Linked DNA regions of Saccharomyces cerevisiae S288C. Changing the gene in region 2 together with the main gene of any one other region gives a genetic interaction. Each region holds a gene or a part of one and is shown on either strand. Other genes may lie near its edges.

Evidence for each region. Genes that interact genetically often act in the same process or in processes that back each other up.
Region 1: mutations in NNF2 (region 2) and SEC16 together harm fitness more than expected from each alone (negative genetic interaction), as found in Saccharomyces cerevisiae (2 studies listed by BioGRID).

The regions. Positions count from the first base shown.
Region 1 is NC_001148.4:385,312-393,066, forward strand, and holds the start of SEC16 (COPII coat assembly protein SEC16), read left to right. Parts: upstream 1-1,755; coding exon 1,756-7,755. Other genes in the region: Elongator subunit ELP3, read right to left, coding at 1-1,135. UniProt on the Saccharomyces cerevisiae protein: Involved in the initiation of assembly of the COPII coat required for the formation of transport vesicles from the endoplasmic reticulum (ER) and the selection of cargo molecules. Also involved in autophagy.
Region 2 is NC_001139.9:655,006-660,376, reverse strand, and holds NNF2 (Nnf2p), read right to left. Parts: upstream 3,418-5,371; coding exon 607-3,417; downstream 1-606. Other genes in the region: CTT1 (catalase T), read right to left, coding at 4,055-5,371.

The DNA.
Region 1 (7,755 bases), on a different chromosome or scaffold from region 2:
GAATGTCTCTTTGGACACGGTAGATTCTTGTCCATGGGGGCACTAGGGCCAAGATTCTAGCAACTAAGTCCACTAAGGCGTTGGCACTATAAGACTTATACCTGCCCGTTTTCCAAAGTTCGTATAAACCTGTACCCCTAATGACTAAAGTTGGATAGATTTTCAACCCATCAGTCCTAAAATCAGGATTTTCAAAATACTCTTTGAACTGTTCAATATCTCTTTCCATCCCAACATTTGGTAAATCTGGCATCATGTGAGAAACAACCTTATAACCAGCATCTTTAGACACAGCAAAAGTTTCACAAACAGACCTAACGGTGTGTCCTCTATTAGTATCACGAGCAACGTCTTCGTACAAGGACTGAACACCAATTTCTAATCTGGTACAGCCATATTTTAACATATCGTCCAAATGTGTTTGCGTACAATAATCAGGCCTAGTTTCGATTGTTATACCAACACACTTCGTTAAACTTTGTTGCGAATAAAGAATAGCTTCATCAATATCATTACCATTGAACCCAGAAAGTGCATTATGCAATTTCACAATAAAATCTTCACGATATTCTTTTGGTAATGACATAAATGTACCACCCATCAGAACATATTCGACTTTATCGATGGAGTGACCTAACTGTTTCAATTGTTCCACCCTACCACGTGCTTGTTCATAAGGGTCATAACGAGCTCTGATGGCACGCATTGAAGTTGGTTCATAGCCTGTGTAAGATTGTGTAGAATACTCAAAATCTGAATCTGGACCACCTGGACAATAAACACAAATATTACCTGTATATGCAATGTGAGGACAACGATGTGGTTTACACATAACGGCTACCACTGCAATACCCGATGCTGTTCTTACTGGCTTAGCCTTCAATTTGGGTAATAAATATTTTTTGTATTGGTCTGGAATAGAATTAATGATATCGGTTAACCTTGGTTGTTGCTTTAGTTTATATTTCTTTGAATATTTAGTAATCAAACCATTCAGATTAATTTCTCTTGTTGTTCCCGAGGTTAAAGAATCTGTTAACTCTAATGTGATATCAGCACAACATTGTATAAACCTTTCCTTTTCAGGTGCTAGCTTTTTTTTGTTAGTTTTTGGGCCTTTTCCATGACGAGCCATCTTTGTCAGGGTGTTCTTCGATTTTCCTTAGGTGCTTTTAGGACTTGTTTATTTCAAAACTTTGCACTGGATAATTTGAGATGAGCTAACTAAATTTCAAAATTTTTTGACCATTTTTTTTTTTTCATGAGGAAGAGCCAGTGACAGTAAATAATAAAAGGTGAAATGATTAAACAATGAAAGCGGCAGAAAAATAAAATCAAACAGTGGCAGTATTGACTTTTGAAAATCAGAAGTTCATCCTAAGTTAAGACTTTCTTCTTTTAAGTGCTTTCTCCTTCTCTCACTGTCTTATCGCTGTATATCTCATTGTTGAATAATATAACACAACGTTATAAGTGATCATCACTTTCTGATCCATAATTTCAAACCTCAAGCGACCGTACATGTGGCATTTTCCACTATAAACTTACGAGCAAGAGAAAGATATACGGAAAAGGTTAATTGGCAGGTTACACAAGATTTTGGTCATTGAATATTTGCAGCCCTCCTGCTTGAGAAACTGGACAACAACTGTTATCAATATTCCCTTTTCAAAATAGTGGTATTTAACTGGCCATAACCAAGGAAACCGTTGTACCTATTATTTTGTATAGTCTTCATTTAATAACGTGTTAAGAATGACACCTGAAGCCAAGAAAAGGAAAAACCAAAAGAAGAAGTTGAAGCAAAAGCAAAAAAAAGCTGCTGAGAAAGCTGCTAGCCACAGTGAAGAACCACTTGAATTACCAGAAAGTACGATTAACAGCAGCTTCAACGACGACTCGGTGAACCGTACAGAATCTGACATAGCTTCAAAATCTGATGTTCCTCCGGTCTCATCATCTACCAATATCTCTCCGGCTAATGAAACACAACTAGAAATACCTGATACTCAAGAATTGCATCATAAACTGCTCAACGACTCTGATCAACATGATATTACCGCGGACTCAAATGATTTGCCAGACAACTCAATCGTTGAACATGACTCTGTTATTACCCAAACAAAACCAGCCATGTCTCAAGAATACGAAGAGACTGCCGCTCACTTATCTTCGAGAAATCCATCGCTCGATGTAGTCGCGGGAGAACTTCACAATAATAATGAACATACCCAGAAAATTGCCGTATCCGCTGTGGAAGAGGATTCTTTCAATGAAGAAGAGGGTGAAAATCACGACAGCATAATAATTTCATCATTAAACGATGCTACCCCTTCTCAATATAATCATTTTCTCCCATCCGATGGCAATCTTCTTTCTCCAGAATTATCTTCTGGTGATACGCCAACTCACAATGTTCCTCTAGGCACAAAAGACAATGAAATAAATGACGATGAGTATTGTAATGATAAGGAAATTAGTTTGAACGCAAATAATGTGCTTCCTGATGAACTTTCAAAGGAAGAAGATGAAAGATTAAAACTAGAAACGCATGTATCAACCGAAGAAAAGAAACAGGATATCGCTGATCAGGAAACTGCAGAAAACTTATTTACGTCTAGTACAGAACCATCTGAGAATAAAATAAGAAATTCTGGTGATGATACCTCCATGTTGTTTCAAGATGACGAAAGTGATCAGAAGGTTCCATGGGAGGAAGATGTGAAGAAAGATTTTCATAATGAGAACACAAATAATACTCAAGAATCGGCACCGAACACAGATGATCGTGATAAGGGTTATGAAGGAAACGAAGCTTTGAAAAAGTCCGAAAGTTGTACAGCCGCGGACGAGAGGTCGTACTCTGAAGAAACTTCAGAAGATATCTTTCACGGACACGACAAACAGGTAGTTGAAGGCCAAAATGATTTCACTGGGAAAAATATTGAGAATGAAAGCCAGAAATTAATGGGGGAAGGGAATCATAAGTTACCGTTGTCTGCCGAAGCTGACATTATAGAACCTGGTAAGGATATTCAAGATCAAGCCGAGGATTTGTTTACGCAGAGCAGCGGAGACTTGGGAGAAGTTTTGCCATGGGAATCTACTGATAAAAACGCTGATGTAACGAGCAAATCCCAAGAGAAACATGAAGATTTATTTGCTGCTTCTGGAAACGATGAGAAACTTCCTTGGGAAGTTTCTGACGGTGAAGTATCATCGGGAAAGACGGAAAACAGCATGCAGACTAGTACTGAGAAAATAGCTGAGCAAAAGTTTTCGTTTTTGGAAAACGACGACGACCTTTTGGACGACGACGACAGCTTTTTGGCTTCTTCTGAGGAAGAAGACACAGTACCTAATACCGATAATACAACGAATTTAACCTCAAAACCAGTTGAAGAAAAAAAGGCTTCAAGATATAAACCTATTATCGAGGAGGAAGCAGGAATGCGTCAAGAGCAAGTTCATTTTACCAATACTACTGGCATTGTAACACCGCAGCAGTTCCACGGTTTGACTAAAACTGGACTAGGCACCCCCAACCAACAAGTCAGTGTACCAAATATAGTTAGTCCTAAGCCTCCTGTGGTAAAAGACAATCGTTCAAATTTTAAGATAAATGAGGAGAAAAAGAAGTCTGATGCTTACGATTTTCCACTGGAAATTATTTCAGAAAGTTCCAAGAAGGGTCACGCAAAGCCGGTTGCCGTTCCTACTCAAAGGTTTGGCTCAGGGAATTCTTTTAGTTCTTTGGACAAACCAATTCCACAGAGCAGGAAAGGCTCTAATAACTCAAATAGGCCACCCGTGATCCCATTGGGGACGCAGGAGCCTCGATCTTCGAGAACTAACTCAGCGATCTCGCAATCTCCCGTTAATTATGCTTTCCCTAACCCATACAAAATTCAACAACTACAACAGGCTCCTATCCAATCAGGTATGCCTTTACCAAATACCAACATACCTCCCCCAGCATTAAAAGTGGAAACCACCGTTTCTGCTCCTCCAATTCGGGCAAGAGGGGTCAGCAATGCCTCCGTGGGAAGTTCAGCGTCTTTTGGTGCTAGACATGCAACACAGTACGGCCTCAATAACGGGGTACCTCCGGTTTCGCCATATGGTCAAGCTACCATAAATTTGCCAACTGCGAATAAGTATGCCCCCGTCTCTCCTACAGTTCAGCAGAAGCAATATCCATCAGTTGTGCAAAACCTTGGCGCTTCGGCCGTAAATACCCCCAATTTTGTAAAGACCCATAGAGGCCATACAAGCTCTATTAGTTCGTATACACCAAACCAGAATGAACACGCCTCTAGATACGCACCCAACTATCAACAATCTTATCAGGTGCCATATACCTCACAACCTGTTGGTCCTGTAGCTGGGAATTCAAGCTATCAAAGCCAAACCCGAAGTTCTTATGCAGTTCCTATGATGCCCCAGGCTCAAACTTCAGCAAGTATTCAGCCTCACGCGAACATTCAACCGCCTACTGGCATTTTACCTTTAGCCCCCTTACGACCTCTAGACCCCTTACAAGCCGCTACGAACTTGCAACCCCGTGCAAGCAACATAACGGCTGCAAATTCACTACCTCTTGCAAATTTGCCACTTGCTGAAAACATACTGCCAGAAATTATCACGCATCGAGCTACAAGTAGTGTTGCACCACCACGACAGGAAAATAATCCAATTAAAATAGACAACGAGGCTTTATTACGCCGTCAATTTCCGATTTTTCATTGGAGTGCTGCAAACAAGGTCGTGTACGCAGTCCCCCCTATCCCTGACCAATCGCAGTACATGATTTCATCAAGCATTGTACAGGAAATAAAAGTGACACCAATTGACCAGATAATTAAACCGAACGATATGCTCAAAAGCTTCCCAGGTCCTTTGGGTAGTGCCAAATTAAAAAAAAAGGATTTAACCAAATGGATGGAAACCACTATTAAATCCATATCTGAAAATGAATCATCCACTGATATGACTATATGGCAACTATTGGAAATGAAACTAAACGATAAAGTTAACTGGAAAAATATTTCAAAACTACTATACAATTCTGACGAACTTTTAATGTACCTATCTCAGCCCTTTCCAAACGGTGACATGATTCCAAATGCATATAGACTGGATATAAATTGTCAGATGAGAGTCCTGGCGTTCTTACAAACGGGAAATCACGATGAGGCACTTCGCTTAGCTTTAAGCAAGAGGGATTATGCCATTGCACTATTGGTTGGCAGTTTAATGGGTAAAGACAGATGGTCTGAAGTCATTCAGAAATATTTATATGAAGGGTTTACTGCGGGGCCAAACGACCAAAAAGAATTGGCACACTTTCTGCTCCTTATCTTTCAAGTATTTGTTGGTAACTCCAAAATGGCCATAAAAAGTTTCTACACTAATAATGAGACCAGTCAATGGGCATCCGAAAACTGGAAGAGTATCGTTGCAGCTGTTCTGATTAATATCCCAGAAAATAATGAAGATCCACTACTTATACCACCTGTTGTCCTTGAATTTTTGATAGAGTTCGGTATATTCCTCACCAAAAAGGGCTTGACAGCCGCAGCTAGTACATTATTTATTATTGGTAACGTACCACTTTCTAATGAGCCAGTAATGGCAGATTCAGACGTTATATTTGAAAGTATTGGAAACATGAATACTTTTGAAAGCATTCTATGGGATGAAATCTACGAGTATATATTCTCGTATGACCCTAAATTCAAAGGATTTTCATCTATTTTGCCCCAGAAGATATACCATGCATCTCTTTTACAAGAACAAGGTTTGAACAGCCTGGGGACAAAGTATACTGATTACCTCAGTTCCTCAGTTCGAAAACTGCCTAAGAAAGATATTTTAACAATAAACCTCACTCGTGAATTGAGTGAGGTGGCTAGTAGGCTTTCCGAGTCTAATACAGGATGGCTTGCAAAACCAAAACTAAGCAGCGTATGGGGTCAATTAGATAAATCCTTCAATAAATATATTGGTGGCGATGATATTGATGCATTGAATAAAAAAAATGATAAAAAGAAAGTTTTTGATGGGTTCACACCGGGATCTTCTGCCAATTCGTCAACTGTGGATCTCACCCAAACATTCACACCTTTCCAAGCTCAAGTTACTTCGCAAAGCTATGTGGATACTACAGCTCTTTTGCATAATGCCCATAATGTACCAAGCCATAGTGTGCTGCATTCAAAGCCTTCCAATGTGTCAAAGGGGTTAGTTGAAGCAAACTTACCGTATACGCATAGGATCGGTGATAGTTTGCAGGGATCTCCTCAGCGCATTCATAATACACAGTTCGCTGCTGCTGAGCCTCAAATGGCTTCTTTGAGAAGAGTTAGAACAGACCAGCATACAAACGAAAAGGCTTTGAAGAGTCAGCAGATTTTAGAGAAAAAGTCTACGGCCTACACTCCACAATTTGGACAGAACCATAGCGTTCCAATGGAAAAGTCTAATTCGAATGTGCCATCTTTATTTGCCGACTTCCCTGCTCCACCCAAACTTGGAACAGTGCCGTCTAATTATGTGTCTAGTCCTGACTTAGTAAGAAGGGAGTCTATCATATCTACCGGATCAGAATTTCTTCCTCCTCCCAAAATTGGGGTACCTACTAAAGCTAATTCCTCGCAGGGATCGCTTATGTACTCACCAAGTGTGGAAGCTTTGCCTATCGACCCTGTCGTCCCGCAAGTTCATGAGACGGGATACAATGATTTTGGTAACAAACATTCTCAAAAAAGTATGCCTGAAGATGAATCTCACACATCACATGATAATAGCAATGCTGATCAAAATACATTAAAAGACTCTGCAGATGTTACAGATGAAACAATGGATATTGAAGGACCTGGCTTCAACGATGTGAAGAATCTTCTTCCTATGGAGCCCAACCACCAGCCTACGTCTACAGTAAATCCTATACAAACTATTAGTGACGATATCCAACCGATTCTTCAAACTAACGTGGAGGTCCGGGGTACTGATGCATCGAAAATGGAAAATTCACTTCCCTCCATTGAAAATGAAAGAAGTAGCGAGGAGCAGCCAGAAAACATTTCAAAATCAGCATCATCAGCATATTTACCATCAACTGGTGGATTGTCACTCGAAAACAGACCGCTAACTCAGGATGAAAACAGTATCTCAGAGACAGTTCAATCCACATACTTGCCAGCAGGAAGTATTTCAATGGAAGCTAAACCAATTTCTCAAGTGCAAGATGTTCCAAGAAATGTTAATAATAAAGCATCCAAACTTGTGGAGCAACATATGGCACCACCAAAGCCAAAAAGTACTGACGCAACCAAAATGAACTACTCACCATACGTGCCTCAATCAACTGCCGCTAGTGCAGATGGCGATGAATCAACGATTCTGAAAACATCGCCTGCTATATATGCAAGAACTCACCAAGCACATGCATCCAATCCATCACAATACTTTCCTTTGGTCAACCAAGCAAATGAAACTGCTTCATTCGAATTATCTGAATCAACATCCCAGGCACAAAGTAATGGAAATGTTGCTTCAGAAAATAGATTCAGCCCAATAAAGAAAGCCGAAGTCGTCGAGAAAGACACTTTTCAACCTACTATTAGGAAGGCTTCAACTAACCAATACAGGGCTTTTAAACCGTTGGAATCAGATGCGGATAAATACAATGACGTTATTGAAGATGAATCCGATGACGACAATATGTCTACTGATGAGGCAAAGAACAGAAAG
Region 2 (5,371 bases):
ATTACCAACTTACTCTCTATATTTGCGGTAGTGATAACCTCGTTAGAAACCTCAATCCATTGCAATTCTTTCCATGAACTTAGTATAAATTATAGAATATTAGTTTTCGTAGCTTGTAATGTATTTGAATTGGAACCATCTAATTGTTATCTGCCATTTTAGTATTTTGGACAAGCTCCAAATATGTGGTCCTAAGTTCATATCGAGGATACAGATTATTTGGGCCGTATCTTTGATGTCATGGAGAGTAGTGTGGCCTTCCAAGTCCTGGGGCAGCTATTAATTAGGGAATGTTTTGATCAACAACTTAGTGTTAATAGTAGACACAACGATGTGAACTGTTCAATACATCAGCAAACATTCTTAGTTTTTCTCATATTTTATGTTTACTTATGTTAACCTGCATTATTTCCATAAATAACAAAAGGCAAAAAAGTAACAAATGAAGTTATTAGGAAACAATAAAAAAACAATATCGAGAAAAAAACGACTGACTACATTTAAAGTAGAACGTCCAAGTAATAAATACATGTATATATTCAATAGAAGTAAATTTTAGGATGCTACAAAACGAATTCTTATCTATCTTTGTTTTCTAATCTTCCATCAGTAACTATTACCAATTAGACTATGTATATTTTCATTCTCATTTTCTAATCTGTTGATATCTTGCTCTAACCCCTTTATAGTCAATTCAAATTTATTGGCTTCGCGTATCCTGTACTCCTTTCTTCTAAATCTATCCTTTTCTCTTTTACTCAAAAATTGAGTACTGAACTTTTCTATCTCTTCTGCGTTCTGATCGACCTCCTTTTGTAACTTCTCGTTTCTCGCGTTCAATTTGTCCAGTTTAGAGCCTAGTTGAACTAATTCTTGATTGACCTTTTGGAACCTCCCTTCTGAGTTTTTCAGGTCTTTCGATAAGCTTTCTTCTAACTTACTGAACTCTAATTGATTTTTCAAGTGTAGATCTTTCTTTTTCAAGTATTCCTCTTCTAATTCAAGCTCTTTTTCAGTGAGAGTTTTCAATTGCATCTCTAACTTATTTACCGCAGTCTCACTTTGCTGTAGGGCAACCTTCAAATTTTCGACTTTTAAAGTGCTCTTTTCGTCATGTGTTGCGTTCTGTGAAATCCTGCCTTTAAAATAATCAATTTCTTGTCTCAAAAGACTTAACTTCTTGCTGAATTCCTTTTTTGTCTTTTTCAATTTTGTCCTTTCATCGGACAAATTTGCGTTTGTAGTTAGCACGGAATGCTTCAGAGTTAGCAACGGAGATAAGAATTTCCTATGGTAGTATGAAGGGAAGCTGAAATCAAGGTTTTCAAATTTTCCGGCAATCGCATTGTTATTCCCACAAGTCCTTACAATTAAATCAGAAACCAAATAATCATCTCGGTGATTTAGTCTGTTGATGAATTGAATATCATAAGAACAAGAAGGGACTAATCCGTTAACGACAACGTATTCTTCGCCTACATGCTCTAAAATTAAAGCGCAAGAAACTTCTGACCAGATAACACCGTTTACTAAAACAATGAGTTCGCCATCATGTAAATTTTCAATATGGAATGTAATAGAGTTTGTGCTAATATCAATAATGCAAACTTTGTAGTCATTATCATTTCTATTGAAAATATTTTCATTGGTGGAAACTAAATTTAAAAGATTGTAGTCATCAGATGTTGTCTTTGCAATCAGGGCCATAGTATTTGAAGGTTCGAAATTGTTAAACACGCTCTTCTTAAACTTTCCGGCATGGGTGAAACTAATTCTTGATGAAACTGAATGTGTATTAATCGTGTCCAAATCTTTGTCATGTTTTTCCTGATTACTGACGTATGAAGTATTCGAATTTGTTGGTGTTAGTGAATTTTCAGAGGTTTCTTGTAAGTATTTTTTTTCAAAATTCGTTGTTTTTAATGTAACTACCATAGACCAAAGAGGTGCAATCAAGTGTTGATTCTTTCTTCTGAATAGAAGACGGATAAAATTTTCCAAGTTTGATGTAACAGATATGTCTGAAGATAATTTGCTAGAAGAAAACATGTTCCCAAAATCAACATTCAGTTCAAACAGTTGGTTAGTATACTTGTCATTGGAAGGGGAAAAGAAATCAGAATCCTTTTTCGAATTTCCATTCGAGGAATCAGATAGAGAGATTTCATTTGACAAACTAGTGTTATCACCAGAAAAGTTGAACGTTGTAGGAGAGGTTGTTGTACTGGTAGTAGTAGTAACGGCTTGAGAATTGCTTCCTTCAGCAGAGATTACCGATGGCTGATATGACTTATATTCCTTGACCATAGAAGTGAAATAGGGAAAACTAGAAGTAGCATCAGTAGGATAAGAGGCGGCAGGGTTCAAAATATTACTGTGTGATGATAGGGGAACTGGCGAGTTATTTTGTTGGGATGGATGGATAGTTTGATTGCTGCTGCTAAGTCCACCTGGATCGTTCGGTATCATAGGACTTTGGTCCTCTAAAGTGTTCGAATCGGCAGAAACGGAAGAAGAAGAAGAAATTCTCATCTTTTGCAGACCTTGAACACGGGCTACATCTGGTTTAGTTGAATTGAAACCCTTTTTCAATGGCTTGTTTTCCGCTGTTTGTCTATGAGGGTGTAATAAACTTGAAGCAAATGAGAAAAAAAGGATGTGAAAGGATAGATAATAAATCATACTGTCTGAATGTTTGCCAAGCATCTTGAAAGGCATTGGCAAAAATAGAGAGAAAAGCTTTTTGAAAAACTGTGAATACTTGCGAAAAACCGTGAATAATTTAATTGATTGGCCGGTTCCTCGTAAAGACATATCAAATAACTGTATAATGTCAAAGAAGTGTGACACTCTTTGAAAAGTGTTAGTTGACACAGCATACAATACTGAGCATGAAGTTGCATAGCTTAAGCAATCGCTTGGATCATTGATCAAAAATGAGGCAATAATAGAAATTGCCAGATTTTTTATTGGCTTAACAAAATAATCGCCACCGTAAATCTTTAGTAACATTGCAAATAAAATTTCACAAATTAATACGGGGATCGGAATGACGAAGCTATTTTTTGAATTGCCAAAAAATCGTGAATTAGATTTTCGGTTTGAACTACCATTGGTCACTTTGGAAGTACTTATATCTATGTGCGCCACTTCACCGATATGGCGGGAAGGTTTTTTCGATAGGAAAAGTATAATAAAACAATTTGCCAGAAAATCTTTGCATTTGGTAGCAACAATAAAGGAAACCAATAAACATAGGGAAGTGAAGTGGTTAAAACTCAAAAAAACCAGGAACAATGCAAGCGTATCTTTAAACCTATGTTTTTTGGCAAATTCGGTGGGCTGTTCACTCCTTTTAGTGTTCATTAATGACTGTAGATGTGATACTTTCTTCTGATTAGTAAATTGTTCCTCCATGAAAATTGTGCATGGATCCTTTTATGTAACGGAGATAGGTGGAATCTTAAAAAATATTGGGGTGTATATGAATAAAAGTTATTCAGAGTGATTACCTAAAGAGATGGTACGAAAAATGTGGAGATAGAAAACAAAAAACTTTGGTAAGATATTATTATAACAGAAAGAATTTAAAGTTTTCTCTGCTGGTACTCTGTATAATCCTCTTAGTCCTAATAAAATTTGTTTATTCCTCTTTTAATAGAAACTAACGAGTTGTGAAAACCTAGTTATGTTACTTGTTATATTACACCTTCAAGAGGTTTAGGAATTCAACGTTATAAACACACAACTGCATAAGTTAGGCTACTTTTTTTTTTCAGATTGTCCGTATAATGCGATAATCGTTGAGTTCATGCCGATCTAAGTACCGAATTAGAAAAAAATGTGTCAAAAGTAGGCAGCCAATCTGTTTTGCTGCCATATTTTTCCTAACAGGATTTGCTATGTATGAAGTACGATAAGTATGAAATATTAGTGCTTGTACATACGACCAATTTGTAATAACTAGTGATGTAGAGAATAAACTTAAAGAAAACTTATGAATAAATAATTATGGAGATATAATTACGAATAATTATGAATAAATAGTGCTGCCTTAATTGGCACTTGCAATGGACCAAGTCTTGGCATAACCTTCAAGGTCAACAGGTTCCCAAGGAACTCCCAAGCATTCTGCAATGACTTTACCCAAATCTTCGTTTAGCAAACCAAAGTATTGCGTAACTCTCTTTTTGACTTTAGGATCTTTGATCTTACAAGCGTGGCAAACAACGTTATGAACGAATAATTTCTTCTGTTCATCGTTGTATACCTTTTCATATAGAGCTCTTGGCTGTTCGAAGTCTAGTGGACTAATACCATAAACGTAGTAATATTGATTAATTTTGGCATCAACAATATGCTCGTTTCTGATTTGGTCTTGTTCCTGTTTTCTCACAGAAACTTCTGTTACTTCGTCAAGAACTATCCCTTTGAACTTATCAGATACTTCGTCGTTGTCTTCATTTTTGAATTTCAGAGTTTGATTTGGTAAACTGGAAATATAATTTGGCTCAGGACCGAAATTGTAGTAACTCATTGGGCCGTCCCTTTGGAAGTTCACTGCTTTAAATGGACACTGTTCGGCAGTGTATTGGGAATCACCTTTGGAGTATGGACATCCCAAGTTTCTTGGTCTGTTGACGGGCAATTGCTGATAGTTGGCTCCCAATCTATGACGTTGAGTGTCTGGATAGGAGAAAAGTCTGGCTTGTAGAACGGAATCATTAGAAGGCTTAATACCTGGGATACAAGTGTTCGTTGGACTGAATGCAACTTGTTCAATTTCTTGGAAATAATTGTCAACATTCTCCGTTAGGGTGATGGTACCAAATTTTCTCAAAGGGAATTCCTTGTGTGGCCATATTTTCGTTAGGTCATTTACCGAATACCTGAACTTAGTTGCTTGTTCGGGTGTCATTGTTTGCACATAACAGTTAAATTTTGGCTTTTCGCCATTTTGCAATTGAGTGAACAGCTTTGCCTGATTATAATCAGGGTGGGAGCCTGACAGTTCAGCAGCCTTATCTCCAGTCAAGGTTTCAAAACCAGTATCCGACAAGACGTGGAATTGCACATATGTGTCCTTACCTTCTTTGTTGACCATGATGAAGGAATGACCAGAGTACGCGTTCATACTAGCCCACGAAGCAGGAGTACCTCTATCACCAAACATGTAAGTTATTTGATGGATTGATTCCGGATTCAATGTTAGATAATCCCAGTATATGGTAGTGTCCTGAAACTGATTCAGATGAGACTGAGGGTCTCTCTTTTGCGAATGAATAAATACGGGAAACTTAATAGCGTCTCTGAGGAAGAAGACGGGAGTATTGTTGAAGACCCAGTCATGGTTCCCCCACTCGGTATAGAA